Linked DNA regions of Danio rerio. The protein of the gene in region 2 binds, or shares a complex with, the protein of the main gene of each other region. Links are inferred from orthologs where the notes say so. Each region holds a gene or a part of one and is shown on either strand. Other genes may lie near its edges.

What was found.
Region 1: smarcd1 (region 2) and smarca2 share a complex: the UniProt entries of both Homo sapiens proteins name them as parts of the BAF complex. The link is inferred for Danio rerio from reciprocal best matches to the Homo sapiens genes SMARCD1 and SMARCA2.

Annotation. Positions count from the first base shown.
Region 1 is NC_133180.1:46,071,216-46,087,554, reverse strand, and holds part of smarca2 (probable global transcription activator SNF2L2), read right to left. Parts: intron 15,205-16,339; coding exon 14,962-15,204; intron 14,851-14,961; coding exon 14,737-14,850; intron 13,627-14,736; coding exon 13,519-13,626; intron 13,441-13,518; coding exon 13,354-13,440; intron 10,080-13,353; coding exon 10,033-10,079; intron 9,868-10,032; coding exon 9,701-9,867; intron 9,544-9,700; coding exon 9,380-9,543; intron 4,825-9,379; coding exon 4,597-4,824; intron 1-4,596. UniProt on the Homo sapiens protein: ATPase involved in transcriptional activation and repression of select genes by chromatin remodeling (alteration of DNA-nucleosome topology).
Region 2 is NC_133197.1:7,393,696-7,409,292, reverse strand, and holds the end of smarcd1 (SWI/SNF-related matrix-associated actin-dependent regulator of chromatin subfamily D member 1), read left to right. Parts: intron 1-976; coding exon 977-1,074; intron 1,075-1,154; coding exon 1,155-1,290; exon of another isoform or gene 1,291-2,481; intron 2,482-2,814; exon of another isoform or gene 2,815-4,697; coding exon 4,698-4,820; exon of another isoform or gene 4,821-5,303; intron 5,304-5,374; exon of another isoform or gene 5,375-7,245; coding exon 7,246-7,347; intron 7,348-7,438; coding exon 7,439-7,492; 3' UTR 7,493-8,599; downstream 8,600-15,597. Other genes in the region: gpd1b (glycerol-3-phosphate dehydrogenase 1b), read left to right, coding at 10,787-10,827, 13,932-14,109. UniProt on the Homo sapiens protein: Involved in transcriptional activation and repression of select genes by chromatin remodeling (alteration of DNA-nucleosome topology).

The DNA.
Region 1 (16,339 bases), on a different chromosome or scaffold from region 2:
AGGAGTGATGTTGGAAATGGCTGTTTTTGTTTCTGCAGCTTTTTCATTTGTGAAAACATTGTTAAACTGTTATGTTCTACTAAGAAAGAAATACCTAAAGTTTTAGATAGATGTAAAAGAAAGTTATGACAAAACCTTGGGTGGACATTCCTGTTAATGCTTTTCATTTTGAATAATTTATTTATGTTTTTGTATGCCTTACTGGTGTGTAGCAAAAATTAGAGAACTACGATAGAAAGTTGGTCATTTCAAATCTGCGATTTCTAGAATAATGCATCTTTATAATGTCACTAACTCATTCTAACAAAAAAGCTGGTCGCCCATGAAAGACAATGAGTACTGTACGTTTACATGGGAACCAATATTCTGACTTTAATCGATGAAGACATTACTCTGTTTCATAATGTACTCTGAGGTCATAATAAAACTAAACAGAAATCGTATTAAGACATCTGGAGTATGCTAATTTTAGTGCAGTACAGACATGTAAACACCGCAATCAAACTATTACTGTCGTGTAGGATTTTCACCGCTTGTGCGACAGATAGTTTCAACACACACGGCTGTTTGACTCTATTCTCTGCACTTATCAATTCAGAGATGGACCACAGACACATATATCGCGAAATGCGAAAGGATTTTTTCTCTCATTCGGCGTGAGGTATCAAATTCCATTAAAACAAAACTCTTTTAGCAGATTATTATCGCATCCAATATCTTGTTAGTCACGGGGGCATGCATGAAATGTTCCGGAATGAAAGTGCAAGCACCAAACTGCAGTTAAAGTCGAAAATTAAAAAATGAAACACCCAATACAAACACCAAAGTCATTCAAACACCTCTTGAATCTTCAGGCATTTTTGTTGTTATCTGTCTTTGTGCTATATCATTGCTGTTCTCTCATTTTGATCGCTACGTTATAAATTGTATAAAGCAAGACAGTTGTTTAGATCACCTTCACAGAAGACAAGACTGGGCTAAGATGAAATGCATCTGTTCACTTTTAAAGACTTTACCCCTTCCACACATTAGAATACAGAAATTTGAGAGCCCTGCAATGCACACAAGCAAAGCAATCATAAACGGGACACATGGATGGAGAAACCCTAATTACTGTGTGGAGCGACAAGAGCATTCAATAGAAAATTCCACTGTCTGGTATTGGCATCATCTCCAAAATTGAACTCTGTTGTATTTGCATATTTATTTATATCCATTTTACTAAGACATTTTTTGGTGCTGAAGTGAAAATTGAATACACATTGCCAAATGGATAGCAAGTCAGTCTTTCGAGTGACTAGATGTAAACCGGCTATATAGGAACACAATTAATCATTAAAAGATTACATCTTGATGCATGCACATTCTTATCCCTAAATTGGACAGCACAAAATATTGTTTTAACATCCGATGCAAAGTGAGCAGCAGTCAAAACGTCAAGTAGGCATCACAGTTGACCAGATGCCATACTTTGATACATGTGACCTGTGTATTCAGTCCTAAGTTAAAAAAATAGAGTGAAAGTTTATCATTTGCTAATGTCTTTAAGCCGTTACTTCCCTGTCACTTGCACAAAATAATAACTTTAGTATTTCTGTGCATGGCGACGCAGTGGCGCAGTAGGTAGTGCTGTCGCCTCATAGCAAGAAGGTCGCTAGGTTGCTGGTTAGAGCCTCGGCTGGGTCAGTTGGCGTTTCTGTGTGGAGTTTGCATGTTCTCCCTGCGTTTGCATGGGTAAAAAAGCCAAAGACATGTGGTACAGGTGAATTGGGTAAGCTAAAAACGTGCTGTATAAGTTGGCGGTTCATTCCGCTGTGGCGACACCAGATTAATAAAGGGACTAAAATGAAAAAATGAATGAATTTTAGTTTGTATCTTGTATCTTCAATTTCTATTGTATCTTGGTTCTTTTGTATTTATCTTTGCTTGTAGTTTGTTTATAACATTTTATGCAGATGCACTTCCCAACAAAATCTAAAAAACTATTCAAGTCATCTGTCTTGGTGTCATGTTTTCCCCCTTCAAATTCATGCAGCCCTATTCCTAAATGATTGCTGTGCTAATTATAAAAAAAATTGTGTTAACGCAGCGGCAAAGTGAATGTGCATAGTTGTGAAACAGCTTTGGTCTTTAGCTTTATTTTGCTTTTTTAAACCACAGAGCATTGAATTGTCTCAGTAAAGAACATCACAAGAACTGGGATGAAGGTTCATAGAAAGGATATAAACACAGTAGCAATCAAAACTAAATACATAACACTGTGCAGCAAATAAAAAATCAGTTGCAGCATTATGCAAGTTAAAAATTGTTAATGAATAATTTGTGAAGAAAAAAGCCTTGAGTGAGTCACTGAATAATCATTCATTCAAAAAAAAAAGTTTTATTCATTCAATTTCTTTCCGCTTAGTCCTTTATTTATCAGAGGTTGCCACAGTGGAATGAACTGCCAACTATTCTGGCATAAGTTTTACGCAGCAGATGCCTTTCCAACTGCAACCAAGTCCCAGGAAAGAAATAATTAATTGAAACAATTTAAACAATTTTAAATAGACTGATTGGTGTGGTGCGCTATGAAAAGAGAGAGGAGTGGACATGACAGGCTAAGCACGGGAAAAATGTGAGGAAACCATAAAAGAGACCCACGATTTTTTAGTTTACAAAGTTAAAATGCAAAGAAATAAACATTAAATAATTTAATGCCCTGCTACATATATGACAGTTTATCCATAGTTGTGTTTACATACAGTTGAAGTCAGAATTATTAACCCCCCTGTTTATTTTTTTTCCCCAATTTCTGTATAACGGAGAGATTTTTTCAACATTTCTAAACATAATAGTTTTACCAACTCATCTCTAATAACTGATGTATTTTATTTTTGCCATGATGACAGTAAATAATATTCTACTAGATATTTTTCAAGACACTTCTAACTAGGCAGGTTAGGGTAATTAGGCAAGTTATTGTATAATGATGGTTTGTTCTGTAGACTTGTGAAAAAATATATAGCTTAAAGTGGCTAATAATTTTGACCTAAAAATGGCTTTAAAAAAAATAAAAACAATATACAACAAAAGAATTTATTCTAGCTGAAATCAAACAAATAAGACTTTCTTCAAAAAAAAAAAACAACAAAAAAAAAAACTAACAAACATACTGTGGAAATGTCCTTGCTCTGTTAAACATCATTTTTGGAAATATTTAAAAAAGAAAAAAAATTCAAAGGGGGGCAAATAATTCTGACTTCAACTGTATTATAAAATATATAGGTTACACTTAAAGTCAAAGGCTACACATATATAGAGTTCTATCCTCCTGAATTCCCGCGTCTGAATACAGACACAATGGATAGCAGGTCTCTTGCCCTATCTATTCACACCATTATCCCTGCCGGTAATATGGAAGATTTTAAATATAGGCGAACACAGCAGCATGCATATAGGCGATGTGTCTGAATAGTAACGAATGCAACTGATAAAAGACAAAGTCCACCATTCTCCAATTCTCACAATGCTCTCCTCACAAAAATGCTTGCAGCACAACAACAGCTTGGATGTGTCAGAAGCCCGGACAGCATTGTGGGGAAAGCCATGCAACAAACTCCATGGTTTATGATAACAAACACATATGACCCTACACGTATGGCTAAATACTGCATGCCATGCGGGGTCACGGTCTCACTTGGCAGGTCTGTCATCGGAAATCACATGCTCGGATAAATAACTAAGAAGCAGGGTCTTCTCAAAGGATAAGGAAACTCAGCTATGAATAATAATGAGAAACCGACACGTGGACAGGCAGACAAATGCTACATCTCTGATTCTGATGCCGCCAAAAATGATTTTAAACCCGTAAGATGGAATTAGCTGACAAAAGCTCAAAATTATCCAGATTTATCCAAAATTAAAAAGCTAAAAGGTGCTAACGTCGTCTTAACTGATGCTCAAAACACACAAATCTGTCATTTTTTTAAAAGTAGTTAAGGGTTTCTTGAACCTTTAATAAATAACATGCTTTTATGTAAAAAAAAAAAAAAAGTTCAACCAAAATGTTTTATTTTTACATTATTACCTCACTTTCTACTTCTTCAAAACCTATTTGAGTTTCTTTTGTTATACTCAAAATAATATATTTCATGGTATTTTTTCTACTATGGAAGCCAGCAACCAGCAATCTTCAAGATATTTCATTTTATATTCCACAAAAGAAATGAAGAAAATGAAGAAATGAAGAAACTCATAAAGCTTTAAAACCACATAAAGGAGACTAAACAATGATTCTTTTTTATTTCTTTTTTGATAAAACTGTCCCTTTAAAGCTGTCCATACTCTGTTCTGGAGGACCAATGTCCTGCATATTTTAGCTCCAACCGAGTTTGGACACCCCTTCTTTAAGGTGTTAAAAAAAATTATGATAATAAATATGATAAAAAAGGCATTTCTCAATTTATCCAGAATCATGCAGCCATCAAACAGTTTTACAAATGGAGCAACCTTGTTATTTACTTTTTTTGAAGTAATTTTTTACTTTGGTGCATCATTAGATGTAATTAGTAAGTCTAACAATAACTCAGAGCGGATCTTGTTACAGTGACTCACCATATTCTGTTCCTCATGCTCCAGAATAGCCTGTAGGAAAGCTCTGCGCTCATGGCTGGAGGATTTCTGATCAAACATTCCTGCCTGAATGACCTTCTGATCAACGTTCAGTTTGTACTTGGCAGCCGCAAGAATTTTCTCCTCCACACTGTTGACGGTACACAGGCGCAGCACACGTACTTCGTTCTGCTGGCCAATGCGATGAGCTCGGTCCTGGGCCTGTAAGTCCTGGTGGTGGAAATCACAGCAGCGTGTTATTATTAGATCAATAATAATCAGAGTGGGGGATTTTAATTAAAAAGAGGCATAGTGCATTCTTTGATTTGTTTTCTAAAGGAAGAACAAATGGATGCAAATCACTGTGACTTTCTGTGCACTGTTTGTGGAGGAGGATGGATGGGTTAACATTAGCATCTTCTGCTGAAAATGTGTGGGGCAAAGGCACATAACACAACAAACAACAATAAAAAAAACAATTAATATATACATACATTACAAACGCCAACAACAAATTTACTTTTGTCTGCAGGCGTAAACAAAATGTTTTAGATGATATACTTTAAGCTAAAGGTCTGCATTCCTGCATAGCAAGAAATCTGGGGCCTGGGGCCATGTATCAATGCTGCGTATGCACAAAAACTTTGCGTACGCCAGGTTTCACGCTCAGAATCGCTCACGTTTGGATTTACTAACGATGAAATGAACGTGGGAATGTTGGCGTACGCACATTTTTTTTTGCGTGTCTGTTTTATTTCCATTGGCGACTCCTAGAGGCAGTTGTGTTAAATTGCACTTTACAAAGAGTCTTTGAGCCGTGCAATGGCAGCTGTATGAGACAGGTTCATCTAGCAGGTATATAAGGTTTCCATACCATACAGTTGACCAGCCAAACATTAAAGCGCTATTTGCAGCGGTTGCCGGTTTTCCCAATGTAATCGGAGCTATCTACTGCACGCACATTGCTATAAAGGCGCCATCTGAAGATGAATTTGCATGCGTGAATCAGAAACATTTCCATTCAATAAATGTGCAAATAAAATATGATGCATGAATGAATGAGTTCATCTGACGCTGGATTCGAACAGAGTTCATGCTCGAACGTGTCAAAACATGTTAACATGCGTTTTACGAGCTGCGCCACTGAGACTATTGAGTGTACTACAACATCTACAACTATAAATAACACTATTTCTTTTTTTAATCCACAGTGCGATGTTCAGACTTAACTGTGTTAACCGCATCAGCTAAACTCTCCCCACTCTATTTTTCTTCTTTTGTTGTTAATTCCGGAGGACAAACTTGCAAATAACACCGTTTTTCTCTGGTCTACCTCCTAAAGGAGCACCCTCAATTCACATTCTGTTCAAAGTTTCTCTTTTTGCTTGCTTTTGCCATTGCTTTTTCGTTGGGTTTTGCCAAAGTAGAGTCATTAGCATATTCATACGGGGGAGGAGGCAGGGAGGGGTTTTGCGCTCCTGCATGTTGCACCTTTGTGCGTACGCAATGTTTAGGAGGATTTCCACGCAAGTCTTTGTACATGACTTCACGGTCATGTACAAAGACTTGCTGGACTTTTGGTCAGGTCCCAAAGTCCAGCAGTGGGACCCAAGCAGATTTCTTGCGATGCAAATAAATTTCTGAATAAAATGCGGTAATTGAGAAAACCATCAGTAATTTAAATTGAAGCGGTCGCTCTAACAATAGTGCTCCAGTGTCCCAATATAATTTTGGAATAGCATATCTTATTGAGCACCGGTACAGCCAGTGCTCTTGACTGTTACACATGCTGAAAGCATGGACCAGTGCTTTCTGCATGTGCATTTTATTGGCACAGTCTGTGCACGCATCATCTGCATAACGGTCATCAAAGCTGTCTTTACCAACATGGGAGAGCAAAGTGTAGATTGGCTGTCCTTCAACTTGCATTAAAAATGGTCAGTTTACTGTTAGGAAACCCATATCAGGCAAGTCTGATGTATAGGATTCTTTTACATGTGTCATATACACAAATGGAAAAAAATGACCCTATGGACAATGTGATAACACCTCAAAGTTTTACCCAATAGCAGTCGCAAGCAAAATAAATTATAGCCACGCACAGACCTCTACTTCAAGCAAACAATTTTATTGGACTTACATATACTTATTACATATACAGTACCATCATTTTTTTATGAAAAATTATAATTAATACAAGTGTTTATTATCTTATGTGATGTCAACTACCTATACAGGCATGTTTCCACTTGGGACTGAAAATAAAATAAAATAAAATAATAAAATAAAATTCAGGCACTTTAGATCAGTCAATATGCAAAATGTGCTTTGTGACAAGTGGCAGAATATTAAATTTGAGGTCTCATCTCATTGTCATAGAGCCAAGTCGCCCTCACAAGTGTCAAGTTGCAGAGAGACCTCAAAAAGTACTGAAGCCTTTACGAAATCTGTCAAATATAGCCTTAAAAGTAACATGCACATTATACAGTACTCTTCAGCTGCTGTTACTCAGGCTGTCTAGTTAAGGAGAACTGGCAAAAGTACAATCAGTGTCTATGTAGGTAAAAGTAATTAAAATTTTAATTATATGGAAATGACCAGAAAACTAAATTAAAGCTATTATTCATTCATTCATTTTCTTTTCAGCTTAGTCTCTTTATTAATCTGATGTTTCCACAGTGGAATGAACCACCAACTTATCCAGCATATGTTTTATGCAGCGGATGCCCTTCCATCTGCAACCCATCTCTGGAAAACATCCATACACTATGGACAATTCAGCCTACCTAATTGGCCCTTCGCTAAGCCACACCCAAAAAACGCCACCCACCAATCGTGGCTTAGCAACCGTAGCTATGCGCAGGAGCTCTGTCAAGCTTTCGAGCGAGGGAAACAGGCCAAAGCGCTGTGCATATTGATTGTGCAAATCTGATACCCGGTATCCTTAAAGTTTGGACTGGGTGGTGGAATTTTTTCCCTTTTCAAAACCTAAAACCCAAGGGGAGAAATGCCAGCATGGATCAATCTCTGTGAGGGGTGCTAAAGGAGCGGTGTTAAGTCAGTTTTGTTTTCGATATTTCTGACACATTCAGTCATAGACGGCAATAACTCACACACCTCTTACCCTAAACAGATCTAAAGTGTGTTTATTACAAAAATACAAAACAGGTCATGTTTCCCAGCTGTCTTTTTCTTTTTTCGCTCGATATTATGAGCACTGCTCCATTTAAGCCTTTGGAGTCACACAAATAGCAATCATATTTCCATCTGTTTCAAGCTTCGAATATTTGAAATTACATATCAACAGAACAAAACCGAGATGTGATCACAATCTGAGCACTTGCGATCAGTATACTTTACAAGCAGCTGTTTTTCAGTCATTTATAAGCCTCGATGTCCATGTCAGAGCTACAATTCACTGATGTTTTCGTCTGTCTTTTGGAGATTTATTCATCTGTGACGATGCTATAGAGGGTTAGTGTCTGCTTTTATATTTGGCATCGGATTAATATTTGCTGGTAGGGAAAATCTATTCGTTCACTTCTGCTATTTATACTTTGATTTGCATTTCAATGTATTTATCTCTTTCACTTAACTGTAAATTAGAATAGAAACGCTATAAAGAGCACACAAACATACGTACAGACGGTGATAGGTGTTCACTGTTATGGGTAAATGATGCTAATATCTGGTACAAATCCATCTATTTCCCCTTCTTGGCTGTTCTTTCTATAAATTAATGATGTAGAAGCACTGTCCATGCGTTTTTCCTAGTTGGTAAGTAACGCTATACTTCATTGCACAACAATTAATCTATCAGGCTTTTTGGCTAAAAAAGAGAAATCAGGGTTTATTTAGTTTTACTGAATTATTTTTAAATGTCACCTTTCCTGCTGTGCATGAACTGAGCTGTTGAATGGTCAGCGTATGAGGCGGCTAGGCTAAGCTAGCTTCAATTTTGATCCGGTTATTTTCTAATCAGTTGCCTATTATGTCGTGAATCTACCCCTGTAATGCATACTGCTGTCCTTTTTTGTCTGGCTTTCTCGGATATCTTATCTGTTGGAAAAAAATGACTAATTTTATCCCTGGCAATGTCTGAAACTGGCGCATACACATTGTAATAGACGTTGCAGGCAATAAAGCTTGACAGGCATAGCAACAGTAACTAAGGAGGGCGGGGCTTAGCGAAGGGTCCATTCACCTGTGCCCCATGTCTTTGGACTGTGGAGCACCGGAGGAAACCCACGCAAACGCAGGGAGAACATGCAAACTCCGGAGCACCCGGAGGAAACCCACGCAAACGCAGGGAGAACATGCAATCTCCACACAGAAACGCCAACTGACCCAGCCAAGGCTCGAACCAGCGACCTTCTTGCTGTGAGGTGACAGCACTACTTACTGCGCCACTGCATTGCCTAAAGATATTTTAATGTATTAAAAATAAAAAGAAAATGTATATACAGGATAATTTCAGATAATATAATAAAAGAATAAAACAAAATTAAATAAAGAACCTAAGATTTAAGACCATAATTACAGATAAAAAATTTTTTTATAAAGGTTTGATGTAATCAAAATCAAATAACAGTTCAAAAAAATCAAAAGAAAAAGCTACCTTTTTTCTGCTAGGGTAGAAAAACAGACCTCCACGATTACTTCAAACAAACATGCACTTTGAAATGTATTTCAAGTCAGATCTAGAGATGACAGATGACTGCTGAGCTGAAAACTTGCTATGCGACTGTCTAGTTCCTCTCTAATCACAGCAGTGAATCACACAAACCTGGTGGGGGTTCCAGTCGCTGTCAAAGATCACAACAGTGTCTGCAGCTTGCAAGTTCAGCCCCAAACCTCCCGCCCTGGTGCTCAGCAGGAAGATAAAATACTGGGAGCCTTCCTCATTGAATTTCTTCAAAAGCATCGCACGATCCTCTGACTTTGTAGTTCCTGGAGGACAAAACCAGCAGCAAAGGAGTGTTAATGAAAGAGAAAGGGCAGCATGTTTGTGTGATCACACTTATTAAAATTTCCAATTGGAAACCCCCAAGAAATAAGGCCCTAAAGGACAGGAAAACATTAAAGAAGGACTGCGCTGATTACTGACCGTCCAGACGCAGATAAAGGAAGTTACGGTAGCCAAAGTAATCCTCCAGGATGGTCATGAGGGAGGTCATCTGGCAGAACAAAAGCACTCTGTGATTGGTGGCCTTCAGTTTGGGCAGGATGCGGTCCAGTAACTCAAACTTGCCAGAGGCTCGGTACAGGTCAGGGCTAGGTGGACAAGAAAAAAAAAAGCACAACGCTAATGTCAAATCTATGATGGTGTACCTCCACTGTCCAGAGCCCGCGGTCAGTTTAGTGATCCATAATTGACATGAATGAACACTTCATGGTAACTCTTAAGGTTATGTAACGCTCGATTTGATGTATACTCACCCGCTGATAATGCCATTTGGAAATCCCAAATGTTCAGCAAAGGATTCCTGAATAGATACAAAAAAGATGCTTTTAGTGTAGCTCATGCTATACAAGTAGGAAAAAAATACTGACTGTTTATTACAGTGGCACTGCTCGTTGAACAACTAACAAGGCTTACATACAGTTTATGGCTGTGGCGATAACTGCAATTTTTTTGTCTGCAGAGGAATGACAGTAACCACAGAAACCACAGTGTTCACCGCAGCGTCTATGATACTTTGCCTTCTGGTAACTTGTGGTCTGTGTGAGTCCTAATGCCCCAGAAAAAGTTAAGGGGACACAACACTGTCCTGACTCTTTGTGGTCATTAAAAATCCCATGGCACTTCTCGTGAAAGAGCAGGGGTGTAACCCCGGTGTCCTGGCCAAAGTCCCCCTATCCGCCCTTACGATCATGGCCTCCTAATCATCCCCTTCCACAGAATTGCCTCTATCACTGTCTCTTCACTTCACCAATAGCTAGTGTGTGGTGAGCGCACTGGCGCCGTTGTCCTGTGGCTGCCGTCGCATCATCCAAGTGGATGCTGCACACTGGTGGTGGTGTGAAGAGACCCCCTCATGATTGTGAAGTGCTTTGGGTGTTTGGCCATACATAATAAATGAGCTATATAAATACACATTACATTACATTACATTACATTTTAAGATTGTAAGGCTAACTGGCATGAAATGTCATCAGTCGACAGATATTTCCCAGTATTTCTTTATTGCAATTAGAGATCACATAAATAACCCCGAAAAAGCTAAAGCAGTGCAAACAATACGATATTACTGTTGTGTTTGCGATAAGGAAAAACGCTAAACACATGCGGGTTTTTCTTACAGCAAGAAGACTCAATAGAAACAAACAGATGGCCAATCAAAAAGTAACCTTAGGTTATACAAAAGCCCAATCCCAATTAGATTTTTAACCCCTACTCCTTCCCCTTGGCCCATAAAACAAAGTGTAAAAGAGAAGGACTTCGAAATTTATCCCTAAAAAATGGGACACCACTACAAGACCTGCACACGTCAATATATGTCATTGCGTTCTCATCCTTCATATGAGATCAGTGCTGTAGTTATTCCAGTTGCTTTATTTTTTTGGTATTTTTCTTGAGGAAATCACTTAAGGTATGTATTATGTTATCATAACAATCTAATGTGACAATAAGATCGTAACTGGACTGTGCATTTACAAAGTGGCCTTATTCATCAATGTAAACACACCAAAAACAAAACTAACATTATAGCACACACTGTTTAAAGCTCTTTCCCAGTCACTAGACTTTTTCTGACAGGGTATTCGAGTGTCATCGAGTGTCAGAATGTTGTGGAACTACTATACATAAGTTATAGTTTTTGATTATACATTGCGAAATTTAGCAGTTTTTATTTTAGCGTTTTTTTAAAAGCATGACGGTAAAACACAAATGCGGCTATGAATATATTACAACATGTGCTTGTTTGTTGTAAAAATTCACAATAATATAAAACAATACTAATTTGTGCATCTTCTGACCTCCAGGTGCAGTGACCCTGCCGTGGTGGATGGTGCATTCTGGGAAATTTTATTACTCCTTGGTTTCGAGTGTGGTCCTGAAAAATCTAAATTTGAAGGGCTATTCGCCCCTTCCTCTTAGCCCTATGCCTTCAAGCTAAAGAGAATTAGGACACCCCCAACCGCTCGTTTTGCACTTTCCCGTGAAGGGGTAGGGGTGTCCCAATTCTCTTTAGCTTGAAGGCGTAGGGCTAAGAGGAAGGGAGAAGAGCTAAGGGGTAGAATTTGGATTGGGCCAAAGAGTGGCCAACACAAAATGCATACATTCCTGATATGCGAGTCCTTTCTTACACTTAATACACAACAACTACTACGGCATAAATGCAGCTCTACAACATACAAAAGAGGGACATCAACTTAAAATGTTACTCACCAAAATAATAATGATTTGATCAGCTGTAGTTAGAAATTAGAGTTTTTCTCTTTTAAGGGCTTATTATGTGGTCTCTGTCGCCATCTTGTACATGGACGTCAACCGTCTTTGCTCTGCTCAGTGACAGGCTGATTTTGTATTATTATTTAAAACAGGCTCTATCCTTATACAGTAAATAAAGGCATAGTTGCAATCTAAACAACTACAATCTCGACTAAAAAAGCCTCAAAAGTACATTATGTTGTCTAACAGCTACAACATTTGTCAAACTATAATGAGTTTATTGATCTGTTGTCACTCTATATGGGCGGAGTAATACTGAAGGCTGAGGAGGCTGTACGAGTTCTGATATTGCAGAATATCGCACGGCTGAGAAAGCCCTAATTACATGTATATACCATATGGTTAGGATTAGAATGCAAGTTAGGTTCAGGGTTAGTTGCATGTAAAGCGTTAGCTTTTTTGATTGTTGATAGATATTTAAAGTGTCCCTGTTGTAGTTTTTTCAGATTTTAACATTCAGGTAGCATGTAATATAGCTGTTTGTGAAAGTACTTTAATGTAATTTTTGTACACCCAAAATGATTCCAAATTGCTTAAAAATAAGTCATCGGTAACTCTTTTCTAACATCCAGCACAAAACTGCAAAGGTTTGTAACATAACTGCATAATGCCTACCTATGCAAACAACACCCGTTTCAATCAAACATTTAGTTGAAGCTGAGGCATGAAGCAGTTTGGTTTGTGATGTTGATGTTAAGATGGTACCCCTTTTTCCACTGTCTCCAATTTGCATTCACTTTCAAAGCATGCGAATTTGGGCTTGAATTAGCTAGTGACATTGTTACTGTTCAGATATGTTAATGAACGTTTCATTACTGGTACATAGACAAATCATAACAAACTGGCCATCGCTAATTAGAGCGATGAAAAGACGAGTTTAGAAACACTGTGAAAAAACAGCTGTTGTGATGTATCTACAAAAACAAATGTATGTTTGTTTTTTGTTTGTTTGTTTGTTTTTTTACCTTAGAATTGATATAAACCTATTGCAGAAAATAAATCTATTATGAATCAAAAATTATTATTATTTTCAGACATAGACAGAAACTTTAAGGTCTAACTTCAGAGCTATGTAGTAGTTTTAGGTCTTGAAGAAGATTTTTTTTTTTTGGGCTCTGTTTTTTGGACCCCATTGAGTTTGTATGTCAAAAAGCAATAGCGTTAAAATATCTTCTCTTGTATTCTGTTGATATATTTAAAGTCATTTAAATTGCAGGAAAGTCAGTTATAACAGAAATTCAAGTTTTAGGTAAACCTATGTAACGTTAACTTAATAAACATTGTTCTATGACAGATAGTGATACCTCAATGTGCTGAAACATGTAGGGATGGTTACAGATCTTCTTCAGTTGCATGATGGTGTTCATTAGGGTCTTGGCTCCACCTTTACCCTGTGGAGAAAACACATTAAACACATCAAATCTGCACAGTGGTGTAAAAGTGAGTAAGCACACAGTTTCTCTGTTTACCTTCTTGTCTTTCTCCGAGCCATCTGTGAGTAGGATACCTTTGCCCTGCATGTGTCTGTACAGGACCTTCTGGATGGCTGACATGTCACATTTGATGACATACTCCACCTGTGACAAATGAAGACTCAGTGCATCAATATAGTTTGAACAGGATGACATACAGGTTTTGCCCCAAAGCTTAGACAGCTGACTTGTTTATTTCCTGCCTTATCAGGCAGTGACTATGCAGACAATGGCTGTTTCTAAATTCCAAGAACGCAGAGACACGACTCATGTTCTCGTGGTGACTGGTCTTGCAAGATTACCTCGAAAGAACAAATTTGGGGGAACGCGAGAACAAAGACCGCGTCCTGTGAGAAATGAAATGTGTTTTTCCTGATGGTCACATGACATTTATGCGCAATATAAACTATCCATAAAGACCCTAACAAATGTTGCACAATACAGATAAAACAAATTTTAATAGGAATTTCACCAAATAAACACTGTTAATGTGCCTTTATTAAGATTTTCATGGTAATGTTTACTTTCACTGTCTCATTTACGGAAACTCCTGAGATAAATGAGACTTTAATAATAAATCTATATCAAATGTTGCACTTCCCACCTCCTTTATTCAATGACTTCTGGGAACATCTTTGAAATTCAATGTTGTTTTTTGTACATTAAATGTTTTTAACAAAATCTCATACATATTGCACTTAAAAATCTTAAAGGGCACCTTATATATATATATATATATATATTTTTTTTTTTACTTATTGTTGAAAATGTTTCAACTAAGTTTCCATGAAAATCCGCCATACAGTCTTACAGTTATAACTGTCCCTTTGAGGGCAGCCTAATGCTAAAATGGCCCTCAGTGAAAATTAGTTTGACACCCTTGTTTTAGAATTATGCATTCTAATGTTATAGTTCTTGGTGGCCTTTACAGTATTTCACGATATCTGTGAAAATGCGTCAACACAGTATGTGAAAAAGGCAGTGACTATGTGTTGATTTCTGTGTGCAGTGAACCAAAGCAGACAGATGCTAAATGTCACTGAATGCTCTTTTCACTATCAGCTAATAATAAAATACATACACACAGACACAGACACAGACACAGACACACACACACACACACACACACACACACACACACACACACACACACACACACACACACACACACACACACACACACACACACACAAGAGACAAAGTGGATACACTTACTTTCTCAGGTAACTGAGACTCCACCTCTTTCTTCAGTCTGCGCAATAAGAAGGGACGCAACACCTTATGCAAACGACGAATGATGAGGATGGTCTCCTCTTCATTCAGATCCACCTAACAAACATCAGCGCAACCCCATAACCAAGAAAAAAAGTCATTAAAATACAGTGTAAGACGTAAAATAGACATCTCTAAATCTCTAAAGATTCAAATATGACAGTTTACCCTTTCTCCTGTCATTGCAAAAGGAGCATTGAACCACTGCTCAAAGGTGCTGCAGCTTTTGAAGATAGTGGGTAAGAGGAAGTTGAGCAGGGCCCAGAGCTCAGGTAATTTGTTCTGCAGGGGAGTACCAGTGAGCAACAGCCTCCTGGGAGCAACGTAGTGGGTGTTCAACACCTGTGTGAGCTTGCAGTGATGGTTCTTCATACGGTGACCCTCGTCCACAATCATATACTTCCAGCGAATCTGAAAATGACAGTTCGGCAGTCACAAACTGGATTAGAAGATCAACTCACAGGTATTGCAAAAGCAGACGCGTCACATTCAGCTTAAAAAAAGCAGTCCAAAGGATGTAATTTAATCACCAAAAGAAATGACTATGAGATGGAATAAAGTGTCATAAATGACTTTGAGAAAAAAGAGAAAGCACAATGCATATAATTATAACTCTCCATATGAGGCATATAGACTTCATTTAAGCCACAGAAAGCTTGCTAAAAAGATCTTCCAGCAAATTCCCCAACCTAGAATGACGTTAACAATGATATGGGAGAAATTGTTAGTTAATGTGAGAGGTGATCTGTGGTCATTCATTCATTTCCTTCAATTTAGTCCCTTTATTCATCCGGGTCGCCACATCAGAATGAACCATCAACTTATCCAGAATACTGAATGTTTTACACAGAGGATGCCCTTACAGCAGCAACCCAGTGCAGGGAAACACCCATACACTAACGCCTGTTTCACACCGCAAGCGTCAGCGGCGCGTGAGCAGAGCGTGAGCAGCGAGTATGTCGAGCAGTAGCAGCACGCAGGCGTTTGCCTTTCACACCAGCTGCGTCTGCAGCGCGCAGCTCTTCGGCAGCTGCTGCAGAGATCAACCTATCTCTGTCTATTCTATCTAGTTACCTATGTCTCTCTATATACAAATACACTTTTCAAACTTTTCATCTGCACCAAGGCCCCTCCTATGCTGTTTCTTTAACCGGCAAATGTTTATTTTACAAATTCTATAGATCAAATAGTGCTGTATGCTTCTCAATCTAACTTATATAAGAAGCGTCTACAGTCAGAAGACAATCGCCTGTGATATCATGTCATTTGTTTTTTATTATCAGGTTGCTGTAGACCTAGTTATAATAATATTTATACAATATAGTTATAATGATATTTATACATGATCAAACTAGTGTTACTTTCTCCGCTTCAGTGATGTCCAGCGGCAGAAAAACAGCTCGTTAATTCATGCTCGTGCAGAGGATGAGACGGACGAAAGTAACCAATGCATGCCATTCTTTTACTTATTTTCGTGTTGTCAGATTCAGAGTGCAAAAAGCTCCCGGTAGGAATAACTCGAGTAAACATAAAACAAAGCCGATAA
Region 2 (15,597 bases):
TTTAATAATTGGCACTTCTACTTGGTGTAGGTCTTTGAAACAAACTCCTTTTACAATTCTTCTCATTCTAGATGTTTGAAATCCATTAATTGACTTATTTTATTTTAGATCTTCGTTTTAAGTTTTAATTCTTATTATAGATCGTACAACCAATAATAGATAGTTCTAGATTTTTGACAGCGGTTGGTTCTTCTCAGTGACTACGTTTACATGGACATCAGTAATCGAGTTATTTGCCTTAGTCTATGGACTGTTTTATCCTATCACAAAACCCGGTGAGAAGTCCTACATGACGGTAATAGTTTGATTAAGGTTTTTACATGTCTGTACCGCACTTCAATAATGCGACTGAAATCGGCATACTCCACACGTCTTAATTCTATTTCTCTTTAGTTCAATTAAGACCTTAATCGGATTAAATTAATCAAAAATCGCTTTTAACTTTTAATCGCATTAAAATCGAATTATTGGTGTCCATGTAAGCGTACTGAGTGTAAATATTGTTGGTTCTGATTATTATTATTATTATTTAAATATTTGCAAAACCCATTGTCAGTTCTTCTTATTCTAAAGGTTTTAAATTCAATTTACTTTTTTTTTTAAATTCCTCAGAACTTGTAAACAATAATAGCTGGCTGTTTTTTCTGGATTTTTGTAACCTTGTAATTGTTCTTCTCATTGTCAGTCTTACAATTCCAGAAGTTGTTTTATTTCTGCTTGTTCTGATTTTTTTTTAATTTTTTAAGTTTAACAATTTATACCATGTGGTTTTAATGCTTTGAAACAAACCCTGTAATTGTCAGTTCTTTTTCCAGATGTTATAAATCCAATAATCAACAGGTGGTTCTTTCTAGATACCTTATACTAGATGGACCTGATAATTGTCTGTTCTTCCAAATGTAGATCTTTAAAATCCAGTAGTTTCGTGTCTTCGTGTGTAATTTGAACCTATTAACACTTGTTTTTCTCAATGTAGATTTTTGAAACCCAGAGGATGAAGTTCTCTGAGATCCCTCAGCGGCTGCATGCCCTACTGATGCCTCCAGAACCAATCATCATCAACCACGTCATCAGGTACCCACTGATAACATGTTAGTCAGAATCACTATCTTTCCTTATCTGCTACGTCATCTAAACTGCTGTTTACTTCTTAGCGTTGATCCCAATGACCAGAAGAAGACTGCATGCTATGATATTGACGTGGAAGTGGACGACACCCTGAAGACCCAGATGAACTCTTTCCTGCTTTCCACGGCCAGTCAGCAGGAGATTGCAGGCCTCGACAACAAGGTTCGAAAGTTTCACCATGTTCGGAAAGTTATGTCTTTGTTCTGGCTGAATAAACAGTCCTCAAAGTGTTTGGCGAGCCGTCACAGGGGGAAAGCGTTACTTTTTTCTGCTCTTTTGTTTTGTGGCTTGGTCTGCTGCATATCAAAGTGACTCTTGGCAGTGGTCTGAATGTTTGAGCAGATTTGTTTTGTATATACAAGAGGTGTGGTGCAGGAGAAAGGGTTCTGCTTTCCATCATGTTTTGTCATTGTTTTTTAAAGTGTCCTAATATTGTGTTTGAGTCCCTTACAGCAGGTTTAAATGCATTTAAGTTGAGAAAATATTGTAATTTTCTCAGAATATGCCAATTATAAGAATCATTTTACAATGATTTTGATGTTTGTTTGAAAATTTAGGCTGTAAACCCCTTTCTTAAATAAGACAACTCTGCTGTCATTGGACAGCTTGCCATTAAGGCCCCGTTTACAGTAATGCATTTTAGTTTTAAAACGCATAAGTTTTGCTACGGTTAAGCCATCCATCCACACTACGCCGGAGTTCTCGAGCGCCGAAAACTGAGCGTTTTGAAAACGCTGGAGAGGCCGTTTTCATTCTAAAAAGCTGCTGCTCCATTTCAGTGTGGATGAGGAAAAACGGAGACATCTGAAAACGGAGGCGGGGCTGCTGAGATTCGCTACCTGATTGAGGCTTTTGTGTCATTGCGTATCCTTCCCTCCTTCGTCAAGTTTCTATCACATGACTATAACACATGGCTTTAATGCTACTGGAAGTTAGTACTGAAAACAACAACATGGACACAGAAATGGGAGCGTTGTTTGCACTATTGTCTGTTTTAGGCGCCACTGTGCAGTTATTCATTTGTTACGTTCGGTAACAACTCGACCTCGTCGTCTGTCCACAAAAATACCTCTCTTGCTTTCTTTGCCCGACGCGTTTAATGTACAACCGGCGTTTGTTGACTAACAATAACCAAATGCCGAGCGAGACGCATGCTTTCTGTTTATACTAGAACTCGCATACCCAGAGTGCGCGAATGGTCACGTGATATACGTTTTTGGTGGCGTAGTGTGGACGGAGATATGTTCAGAGACGCTAGGTGAAACGCTAGTGTGGATGCAGATTGTTTTTGAAAAACGCCGTTTTAAAACTAAAACGCACTAGTGTAAACGGGGCCTAAGTCTGTTTTGATTGGTCTTTCCATGTCTGAAATGAAATGACCATTTCAAAATCTTAATATGTCATGAGTCGGTAGAAAATGAAAATCCGTTGATTTAAGTGTGTTGATGTAAATCAATAGCTGACAAAAGATTCATTAAAGTGATTTTTCTCTATGATGTTTTGAGAGACACTAGCTATGTTTCTATTTCAAGATATGAACTAAACCTATGTGTAAAACTAAAATGTTGCATTAAACATTTGTGAAAGAAGCAGCATTTCTATCCAATAAATTGAAGAGACTAAAATAGTCATTATTGATAAACTGGCACCAAATATCAAAATAAAAAATGGAGTTTGCTAATGTAGGGGAAACCACTTGGGGTCTTTTTCTTATTTAATAATTATTAGTACCCAGAAAACCAACGAATGCAGTTATAACAACCTTTTTAGAGACACAAGACCGTTCTGGAGGTAATAATTTGACAGACTTCAGTTTTTCCTCTATGATTTTTTCCAGCTGTGGCTGCAGGTCTTTTACACAAATCTACCAACTACCGGTGGTGTTGTTTCAATGACAAATGGAGAAATGTGGCGAGCGCAGTATTACACGTCGAGATCGCATTTATGTAAAGTTTATACGAGCATGCCAATCTCTGCTTGCGCGCCGATTTCCTCTGGTCGTGCACAAAACTTTTTGCACGTCCTTAAACACGCTGCTCAAGCGCAGATCTTTTCGTGCTCTCTTAAATAAACACTACTGAAGAGCGATTTACTGTGTTGAGTATTGAGTCTGTCTCCAACATTTATTAGATTTGCAAGGAATATTTCTGAAAGTCTCCAATAGACCTACAGATCGGTATTAATGCATCCTGGAGTAAAGTGAAACGGCAATAAACTCCAATAAGATAAAGTCTTTGTTTGCAGAATCACAGACCTTAATCTATAAATAAAGTACAATTATGGAAACTGTTCATCTTAACTGAAAGCTACGTCGTGTTTGCTGGCCTCACGCATCACACACCTGTCAGCAAGTCAGTCAGTCTGTCAGCACTTAACCTTAAAGTGTTAAACAAATAGTTCACTGCCTTACTACGGCAACAGAAAAGTTTGCGCTGTTATAATTTACTTACCTTTTAATGCGTTTTGGTGCGATTATAACCCGCTATTAAAAACAACAACGACAATGAATGAATGTTGTGAATTAAGAAGAAGCTGTAATGTAGTCGTGTCGGGATGAATTTTGGTGTGGCGCCCCGCCATGGAAGAATGAATGTAGTGGAAACCATGGACTTTGGCTAAGGCATTTTAGAATGACCAAAGCAAGATTTTCTTATAAAAATAGAAAGATGGTAACTTGGGTAATATTTTTATATTCATCTTTGCATTGGGTAATTACAAACTACAAATAACAGATTTTTCTAAAGCTCGTGTCCTGCTCTTAAATGTTATGCATTTCTATTTACTGAAAATCTTTAGTAGTCCAGTGAACACTTCTGGCACGGCAGCCGGACTCACCATGGATAAATTGTTGCCACGGTGAATCCAAAGTTAATGTGATCATGGTTTTCAGCTCGAGTGATTATGAACTGCTTGAATCAGTAAGACAAATCAGCTGTAGGTGAAAGTTCAGTTCCTTTTTATTTCTTCTATAAAAGTTTATATGACCAACGTTCATTGAAAACGTGGATTTATAGTGATGATATAGATATGAAGTATGTTTATTGATGTCTATTGTTTTTTTTTTTTTTTACTTTGATTCGAATTGATTACATTTGTTAAAATTACTCTCAAATTAGTTTTTATGCTCAGGGAAATTACCTTGCTTTCTGAAGCATTGCCAAAACTTATATTGACAAAACACAAGTGTTTATAAATGTGAGGGTTTTGGGTCGATTACTTAGTGATTTAACTAAGTTGAGTTGTGAACTTTCACACACAAGTTTGACCAATTTATTTTTTGGATGTTCACCTTTGACCCAGTTGAATCAGTTGTCAGTTTGCAACAGTCTAAATCTCTGTCGTTCCCAGTCAGTGGTTGAACTTTGTACTTGGTGAAAGTTTGTGTTGATGAAAGAGGTGAGATTACAGCAAAACCTCTTCGATTGAGTATGATTGCTTTTATATGAGCTCAATAACAAAGTTCATATCGAGTACACATGGTTAGTGGACCAGCACTAACGCTCTTATAATTAAAGTGTTGCAAATGGTAAACAAGATCACTCATGCCAGTTGTTTGCTTGTTTCCTCAGATTCATGAGACCATCGAAACCATTAATCAACTGAAGACTCAGAGGGAGTTCATGTTGAGCTTTGCGCGAGACCCGCAGGGCTTCATCAATGACTGGCTCCAGTCGCAGTGCAGAGACTTGAAGGTGAGATCAAAACAGTCAAAAACTGAGCCCTAAGCATCATACTAACATGTTTAATGAGGATATCATCATGTTTTAATTGCATTTAATGGCACACAGTGTGTCCGCGGGGTCTTAACGTCTTAATGGTTTAACATGAAAAATAAGGCTGTCCAAAACCACCACCTACTACTCAGTAGACACTGCATTTGTATTAAAACGTACTACTCTGCCGTTAGAAAAGTACGTTCTATACAGTATGAATGTGAACAGTATGAATGGAACTCTGACATACTACATTTACCATTTTTGCCATGATCACATGATTTATTTAGTTGCATCTTTTCACTCCCATTCATGAATTTTCTTGCGGGGCATCATGTGATAGCACAGCATGCATGGGATGCACACTTCAGAATCTCGCTGGAAGTAGTACTTCTCACATACTGATTTTCGAATTCTATGAATTTAGACATGCTACTCAGCTCACAGTTTTTCGCCCACTATGTAGTATGGTAGTATGTGATTTCGGACACAGCCCAGATTTTAGGCCTTAGTCTTAAATTCAATTAAATCAGATCTTGCAGGTCTTAAATAATTTTAAACAGGTCTCAATATTCCCATATCCAGGAAAAGCTACTCAATCGGGCCAACACGCATCCAATCACCAACAATCCATCTCAATAGAACTATTTATAGAACTATTTACCAATATGGTTTAATTATCATCCTTATAGTAATATTTATTTAAAAGTGCTCTCTGTTTATAGTCCATATAGATCATTTCAATGTGGTCATGTCATTGGTCCATGAACATTTTCTGCTTGTTATCAAACTATTTCATAACTGTAACAAGAGGCAATTCAATCATCACTTAATCTTAAAACGGCTATATTTACATTTATTTATCAATATGTGACTCTTTTTGGATTCTCGGAAGAAATAGAAATTAAAAATGTAAAACAGGAAATGTATTGGGACCGCTGTTTTTGTTTACATCCCTCAAAATGGTCTATCTGGTGAGTACACTGACCTGGACAGACTGTTGTGCATTTAGTTTAGTAAAGTTTTTTTTGTTTGTTTTTTTTTCAAGATAAGTTATGTTGCAAAATGTGTATGCATACTCCTAGAGTTTGCTTGTTTTGACCATTTATTTTAAATGTGTGGCTAAGAAAAATCATCGAGTTCCTGGTATTTTGGAAGTCATATTTTGATGATGCTGTGACTGAGTGTGGAATCGTGGGAGTTGTGTTTTTTATCATCCTATGGGACACCTGCAGAAACCCTGTTGATGGATGAGCTAAAATATTCAACACCTGTTATCATGGTGGTATAAAGATGAGTAAGGCTGGACAGGGTATCTGCAGGGTCTTAAAAAGTCTTAATGTTTTCAATTTCAAAAACAAAATTGTTGGCCTTAAGTCCTAAATTACTGAAATATTGTGTTGTAGGTCTTGAATCATTTTAAATGGGTCTTCATTTTCTAAATGTTCATGTAAAGCTGCCCAATCAGGCTGACACCCATCCTATCACTAACATTCCATCTCAATAAATGTTTTTTAAAAAGTTTATTTATTAACTCTATTTAATAAAAAACAATTAATTTTCTTCCATAAAATAAGTTTTTTTTTTTTTTTTTTTATGTTTTAACTTGGCCTTTAGGATAAAAAAAATGCTTAATGTTTAGCCTTGTGCAAGTATAAAACTTCATTCATAATGGTCTTTATAAGTCTTAAATTTGACTTGATGAAACCTGTAGAACAACTGCTGGAAGCAAAACACTGAACAATTGCTGATAAAAGACGAGTGTGACATCGCATGAAAGCAACTGAGGTTTTATTATGCCAGAATCCACCACTTCCATTTTAAAAACAAAAACCCGGATATCGACTGTATGAGACATCATTAGCATGAACACAGCACACACGGTCTCACTAAAAATGCTTATTTCACTGACTTTGAACGGCTTTTGTAATATTTGACTGTCATTACTTGCGTCTATTAGTCTCTAATGCTGTTTGGATACTTTAATGAAAAACCCTTACATATTGTGTCTTCAAGCTGCATGGTTTATTAAAATGTGTAGCAAAAGTGCTTGTAGAAATGGGTTGTGTAACCTTCGCCCAGACTCGGTCTTTCTCCATCTGTATGTTTGCTCACAATGTTAGTTGGTGGACTGACTGGACTTTTAATGACTTGGGGGGTTGGGAGTATTTTAAAGAGGCGTTTGTGAGAGATGTTGCATTTTTAAATGGTTTGCGGAGAATCAAGCTTGCTATCATTTTTCTCAAGCTTAATTTATCCATCCAAAAATGTACCATCTGTTGCAAAGCAGTTGCTTGCGCTTCCTTGGGATTGCACATCGTGTCTTGAGAGTGTTGCGCTCTGGACAGAAGCCATTAATCAGTAACCGTTGTTCTGCTGACGTCTGAATTTGGTGTCCTTGCAGACGATGACGGATGTTGTCGGAAACCCAGAGGAGGAAAGAAGAGCCGAGTTCTACTACCAGCCTTGGGCTCAAGAGGCTGTGTGTCGCTATTTCTATTCAAAGGTGATGCTTTATACTTTACAGTTCTTGTTTCCTGTTAACACTGCATCCATTTTAATTATAGTTTCTCACATAATCTCTTGTGATCTCTCAGGTCCAGCAAAGGAGACAGGAGCTGGAACAGGCTCTTGGCATTCGAAACACATAAGCAAGCCTGTGGCCGTTACGACACAGGACCAGAAGGGATTCTGGGTAGCGAATTTCCTGCTGCTTGGCACTGCAGATGCTGATCACTACAGTTTTATTACGGTTTATCTTGTGCTGTCCTGCTGTAGCTGCCCAGGAGTGACCCTTCATAAGGAAATTACCTTATTTTTGTTGTGACTCCGCCAAACTAACAAACCCCTTGAAATTCTGCTGTCCCACTTGATTTTTACCTGATTCAAGCTAGATGATTTAGCGATGTTGTTGTTTTCCGACCAAACTGACTTGCTTTTTTTTTTTTACCGCTAATATCGGAACTCCAAACAAAAATGGTAAAAAGTATTCTCCGTTCATGGCTTCTTGGAGTCGTTTAATTTTGAAATGATCGATATTGTCTTTTGATATCTTAATGTTCTCATAATATGAACTTTATGAAGATCTAGTCTAGTTAAGCATAGATGACTGATAATGATGTAGTGTAGTACCTCAGCTCTCTGAAGATGAATTATTCGGAGGAAGTTCCTTAAACGAGTGCGTTAAAGGTGGGCTCACTGGTTAACATTCTCTGCAATGACTTTGAGAACTCGTCTGTTCAGTAACCGTTTTAGATCCACAAGATTAGATGTACTGCTGATCCACCTGTTTGATTACAGGTCTGTTGGGCACAAGCTTTGTCCTGGCCTGTAAAGTACTTCCACTCTAACCTCGCTGTGATATGTATTAATATATTTAGAGAATTGCCTATATGGTTTGTTGGTTCGTTTAATTAATTTTCATTTTGTCATTCTGAAAAGTAACATGAAATAAACCTGCCAATGCAAGTACTACCTGTCCATGGCTACCCAAAAATCATGTTTAGGAATACTATCAAGTGATTGAATATTTAATCGATGCACTGCAGATAGGCCATGGGTTCTTCCACTAAAGTAATTCAAGCATTTAGAAGCCAAGTGCTAAAAACTTTAACATTCTGAGTAGTTTAAGTTTTCTTTAAGTCATGCGTTTGCTTATTTTATATCTTTTTAATCCTTTTTTTCCCCTTTAATGGACCAAATGTTGTATTTCTGTTAGCCCTTGTGTTATAATAAAGATTATCTTGTATTGATGCTCACCTCGGTGTCGAATGTGCTCGCTAAATTTATTTTATTTCTTTTCCTTCAGGCCTAATGACGATTTTCAAGAATGACTCAAGATTTTTGTTAAATCCCACATATAACTTTTTAAACATTTGTGATGTTGTGCAAACAGCTTAATAGCTAAATTGGTAGTTGTAAATCGAATGTTTGAGGGTTTGCTAATGTTGATTTAAGATGGCAAATCCTAAAGTCACATTCAACTTTGGCGCCAACAACATCCTGAAAATATTTACTGTATTTTTAGTGTCATGGTTAATGATTGCATTTGATTACTTAATTCCATCGAACTGTTTAAATTATTGCCTCAGGTGTCACCCATTGGGTTCATGCTAAATACATGAGGTATTGCAGCAATGTTTCTTGTGTAGAAACGTGTATCTATTGGCAGATCTAGGAATTTTTAAAAGCAGGGACCAAGGCGGGGCCACAGTTTACAAAGAGGGGGCAAGTTTTTCAATTGGTGCGAGCACCTAAACCAGGGATGTCACACTCAATTCCTAAAGGGCCGCAGCTCTGCACAGTTTAGTTCCAACCCTAATTAAACACACCTGAACAAACTAATTGAGTCCTTCAGCCTTGTTTGAAACCTAAAGGTAAGTGTGTTGAAGCAGGGTTGGAACTAGACTGTGGAATTGAGTTTGACATCCCTGACCTAGACTCTGGAATGCTTGATTCTAATAGGTCAATCATGACATTCAGGCTCATCCAGGTACTGCAAATCATCATATAAACATTCATTCTACAATTGCAATGTTGAGCTGGTTTATGGGAACATGTCTTGTCGTTGTAATTCAAAACAGTTAAAATCATAATTAATGGGGTCTTTCCACATTCAAATCTTGATTTTGGTGTGCTGGGAGGGTTGGGTTTATGGGTCAGGCCATCTACATTATACCTATGGAGAGGTCCTTATAAACCAAAATGTAGAAGTCAAAATTATTTTCCCTCCTGTGATTTTTTTTATTTTTTATTTTATTTTTTTTTATTATTATATATTTCCGTATTGATGTTTAACAGAGCAGGATATTTGTCACAGTATTTACTATATTATGTTTAATAATTTGATTTCACTATTGAATTCACCATGAAGTGTACCTTTAGCGTTGACATAACTCAAAATGGTAATTTAATAACTCGTATGACAGCTATGAGCGGAATCCTAGAGTTACCTTGTAACTCTGACATGTTTAGTCTACTCGCATATGACTATCAATTTTGGTCTGTTTTAAAATATGTGTTTGAAAAACAAACTATGCCAAGGAACATTATTACAATTTTAATCCCTCTTTTGGAAAAAGTACAGGGACTATAGCACTTGTCATTCAAAAAAAAATTGCTATAGGTAACACCTGCGTTCGACATGAATTAAAGTGCGTCTAAGTTTGAGCTTTGCTATAAATCAGTTAGGGGAGAGGGGCACTACAGGAGCCAACCCGATTTAAACGGGGCCGGTGCCCCACAGATCCCCACAGACCCTGCGTATATCCTAATCTTCACTGTTTTAATAAATTCTTTGTTGGAAGCAAATATTTACATGAATGTCTTTTTTAAACAGCCAATGTAACGTAGTGCCAAGAGCTAAATAGCAAAAATTGTGAATGTAATTTATTATTTTATTTTATTTTTTTGTCGATGTTAATGCCAATGTTGTTTCAGGTTAGCAAATAGCCGTTAGGTGCATTTTTGGCGCCACCAACGTCGTGTAAAACTTTACCATAAACGCTTATTGATTTACGTTTTAAATTAAGCGTTTATCGTATTAACGTCGTTAATGATAGCTAGACTACTTACCTTTCAGTAAGATGTTTCTGTTTTAATTGTAGTCTCGGGATTTCCTCAGTATTGGAGAAATATTTCTTATAGCCTATTATAGAAATGTAATAATCTTCGCGGTACAATTATCAGTTAATTCAAACGTATTCCTCAACCCATACTTAACAGTTGTTAAGTAACTTTAGGTAGTGGTTTCTAATAATAATAAATCATCGTTGTCACTTGTCAGTCCAGTATGTATGAGAAGAAACCAGCCAATGCGCGTTAAGGGGAGTGATGCGCGTTCACAGGCTATTTAAATGCGCGCGCACAGGATTTTCTCCGGTCCGGCAGCGGCTCTCAAACACACCAGAGTCCTTCAGCCAGTCCAGCCGGGACAGAAGCGCAGCATGGCGGCCAAGAAAATCTGCATTATCGGCTCTGGCAACTGGTGCGTGACATTTACGTATTTTACATTCATTTTGCGCATATACATGTATTATTGTAATGCAGGGGGCAGCGGGGGCTGAAGTATATTTGGAAGCAGCCTGTTTTAACACCCAAACTGAATTGATTTCTATTTTGGGAAGTTGATTAAATGCGGTATATTTAGTATTGCACGGCTTCGCTCTGCGGATATCAAGTGTAATCCAGGAATACTTGACCTTTCCGTTAATATACTTGAAATATCAGAGATTACACAATGTTTTGTCGCTGTTAAGATCCTAAAGTGATTTGAATGTTTCTTAAATGGGTACCTTGCTATTTATTTTATTATGCATTTCATGTACTTATTGTCTTTAATGTCCAGATGTGCTTTGTTTGGTTTGCTGTAGTTGCTGAGGTAATATTTGCTGAGTAATGATTGACTCAGGTGTCCAGTGATCCTCTTTAAACTCAAAGAAAAGGCTGCAGACCCATAAACTTTAGCCTGTTCTAGAGCATTGCATATACTGAAGCAAAGCTATAATATGCAGTGGATTAATATTATAATCATCTATTAACATCTCAGCAGCATGGTTTCATGTTTCCAATCTTAGAGGATTATTCAGTTTATTTTTAGAAGATGTTTTGTTGTACTGGTGCAGACACACAAGATTTAAAGGGATAGTTCACCCCAAAAAAAAGAGAAAAAATTTGTCATTTACTCAGCATTGTCACGATTAATCTTTAGATACTATACCAGCTGAAGTATTACAAAACCAAGTAGTGTTGTGATACTGTAATTCATAACTCAAATTCTAAAGAAAATTGTCAGAAATACTATATTTTATGTTATATGCATATAATAGGCCTACTTGAATGTAATTCAACATTTCCGTAAGGCCAAAAATATTATTTGCACCCCACTTCACCTAAAATTGTTTATTTTGTAGATAACTGACCAACAAAAATACATTAAAATAAAGATACAAGTTATACAGAATGAAGTTTGTTACGAAAGAGCATTGTCACCCAACAAAATTAGGCTATATGAAGTGGTCAAAATTTGTTTCAACATTTCCTGTTGCTATTTTGGGTTTTTCATTTATCATATTTCAGTCTGTTCTTTGTATGTGGATTACTCAATTAGCTGGATTTGGTTATTGACGATTTGACACGATCCAGGATTATTTTGTTCTTCAAAACTCATCCGAGAGTTGTTGTCATAGCAATATAGGTCTGGTAGCTCAAACCTGCTCAGGAGCAGACTTGTGTCATGCAAAAAGGATTAGATCGGGTCTTTTCAAGCAAAGATAATACTGAAAGTATGTACCGAATGCTGACATTTTCCTACAGTAGTAAGCTTTAGGTTATATACATTTGGGAAAATAGTCAAATGGTTTTAAAAAAATGTTTATTTTTTTTATATTTATATTATATGCATATAAAAGTTTAATATATAGAATTAAAGTTAAATAAAAGTTTTAAAAAACATGCAAGTATAACTTATGCAATCTGCACTGCAAAATAAAAGTACAAAAACTGTCACGGCGGTGTTCTTTCCCCAAGGAGTTCAAAGAGAACATTTATTATTATGCACATTTTAGATACAAACGCATACTATTTTAAGGATTCAGCTTTAGTAGTACATTTTTTCTATATCATAATAGATAACAGGCACAATAATCAACTGTTTTTTTTTTGTTTGTTTGTTTGTTTGTTTAAAGGAATAATATAGTCAGTCATTACTATGTTTTGACAGCTAATATGCCAGTGATTTGATGCTTCGCAAAAGTTTCAGACACCTTCACCAATATCAAAATTCTTTTTTGATGCAGAATTAATTTAAACAGCCAGTTATTATGCTGATTAATCAATCCGCTCTAACTGTAAAACTAAATAAATTGATAAATACTTTTGACACATGAAAGTGTAAAGCCTGCAGCCCACAACAAATGTGTAGTTATTGCGTATCATATTTAACAAACCGTTTACTATGAATTTTATGTAATTTAGCTCACATGCTTGAATATTAATCAGATGATGTCGTTACCCTGCTGTGCCGTCAGCCAATCGCTGCATTGCTGATCATGAATTCGAGGATCATTAGATCAGTCCTTCACCACACATGCAGCGATCTCAGATCAGTTCATCCAGACATATTAATCTGATTAGCAATCTTGTTTGAAGAACCAAATTAGCCAGAAATCAGTTATCAAGATGCACAGATCCAGGATCTGCAAAATCATCTTAGACCATTTAAGTACGGTAAGAAGAACTGACCCTAGGTAAAAATCCAAAGTGATGCAAAATTTCACTTTGTGAGTCATCCTTTTAAAGAGATCGTTTTGGTTGTTGTAGCTACTAAATAGTATTAACAGGAACAGAAATGAACTGATTCAGATGTGCGTTCGAACCGGAGTGTTAGAAAACGTGCAATAGGCTACCATAAATGGTGCAAATTCTACAGTTTATAAAAATAAAAAAATGGTCTGTTGTTGCACAAACGTGACTATTTTAGCTACTTTTCCACATGCAACATTATCTATTGTAGATAAACCATTAATGACGATACTACCGTTTACAAACTTCAGTGGCACCGCCAGTATTTTGGAGCTATAGTATCGCAATACTACCATAGTACCGGTAAACCGTGCAACGCTATATCAAACCTTTTTCTAAACACAAAGGAAGATAATTTGAAGAAATCTGTAAGAACTGACTTCAGTAGTATTTCTTTTGGTTGCAGGTTTTCAGCTTTCCTCAAAGTATATTATTTTGTGTTTACCAGAATAAAAAAGCAAAAATTTGGAACCACTTAAAGAGTAAATGGTAAATTCTCATCATTAATCATCTCATTAATGAACACTTTTTGAATGTCTAAATATCAATAAATACTTATTATTATCACAGTAATTTCCTTACACCAATGGCAACTCGCATGCTTTACTACTTGAGCACCTCAGCTCTCATAGGACTAATTAAAGAAGCATTATATAGTCTAGTCAGTGTCGCAGTAATGAATCTGCTTCTTGAGCCCTCAGGAGAGCGTCATCTGTCATTACTGATCCAGTGCTGTGTGTTCATTACAGTTTATCAGTGCTCTTTAAGCTGAGTTTTTCATTTCCTCAGGGGTTCTGCCATTGCCAAGATAGTGGGCGCCAATGCAGCCAAATACAACACTTTTGAGAACACGGTGAACATGTGGGTGTTTGAGGAGATGATCAATGGACGCAAGCTCACCGAAATCATCAATACTGAACACGAAAACGTCAAATACCTGCCTGGACACAAGCTGCCACCTAATGTGGTGAGAATGAGAAGCTTGTTCATAGCAAACTTTTCTCTCTCTCTGGAACATAAAAATCAGTCATAAGTGTATTTTATTTTTTTTTTATGATTTATACGTCAAATGAAAGTTGATTAAATAAGCTTTTAACTGATGTCTAGTTTTAGGATTGTACATTACTTGGATGAGATATGAGTATTTGAGAATCTGAGGGTTTAAAAATATCTAAGTATTGAGAAAATCGCCTTCAAATTCAAAAAAGATAAGTTCATAGAAATATATATAACTAATCAAGAATAATTTTTTGATGTACTTACAGTTGGAAATGTACAAAATGTTTTATGTAAATTCTTTACTAAATGATAGATTTTTGACTCGTAGTCATTCGTATTTGGTATATATTTTTTATTAGTTAATAAAAATTAAATATCACAAGATATAAACCATTATTATTATATCCAGGGTGCAAATTCTACATTGACTTGATTGAGGGGGTCAACTTTTTCAGTAGTAGTTTGGTAATGCATGCCTTAGTGAATCAAATTTATGAATGTATTTGAATTACATCTAATTTATGAATAAAATGTATACATGTTCAGTGTTTTGAGGGATAGTTAGTGACTATTTTAGGCTACTGTCCCTACATATTTTAGAGCGGTAATCACAATACTGTAAAACTGCTTTTTTTATCCAAGGTTATCATACCGTCAGAAACTTAAACTGGCCAATGCCCATGTTAGAGTTAATCTGAGAAAAAACATATGAATAACAAGTTAACATGAGAAATTATTATTAGTACCATATTGGTTTTCTTAAAGATGGCAGTATTTATCTTGCAGCTTTCTAAAAAATTATTTAAAATGTCATGTATAAAGTCATAAAGAAAAAAAGTCTGATATTTTAGTTTGTATAATTTTCTCATTAAGTAATAAAATGTTATATCCAGCGGGCAATTTGTAGATAAACAATCGGGGGGGCTCAACTTTTCCGGTAGTAGGTTGGTAATGCATGCTTCAGTAAATCAAATGTATGAATGCATTTAAATTACTTCTCATTTATTAATTATATATGTATACATTTTAGGGATATTTTGTGATTATTTTAGAGGTTACAGTAGGTAAAATTAAGCATCTAATTTTTCTTTTTTTTTTTGACTATATGCAGATACACCTATTTTACAAGAAACGTGTTTTGTGAATACTTAAGATCGGTGCTCTAGAACTGCCTGTTTCAGACTGTTGAATCATATTTTTCCTAGCATTGATTGGAGCGATTATGCATTCACAATGGTATGAACCTTTATAGGAGGGGTCAAATGTACATTTATATTATACATTTTTAATAAACAATATTTAGGATATAAATCAGAGATCAGAGAAAGCTATTTCTTACTATTAACCCGCTGACCCTCCCCCCATACATCTTGTTTTGATGTTCTTCAGGGGGGGAATCAAGCGTTAATTAGGGGGATCAGCCCCTCCTCCCCCCCAAACCCCTGTTATTTGCTCC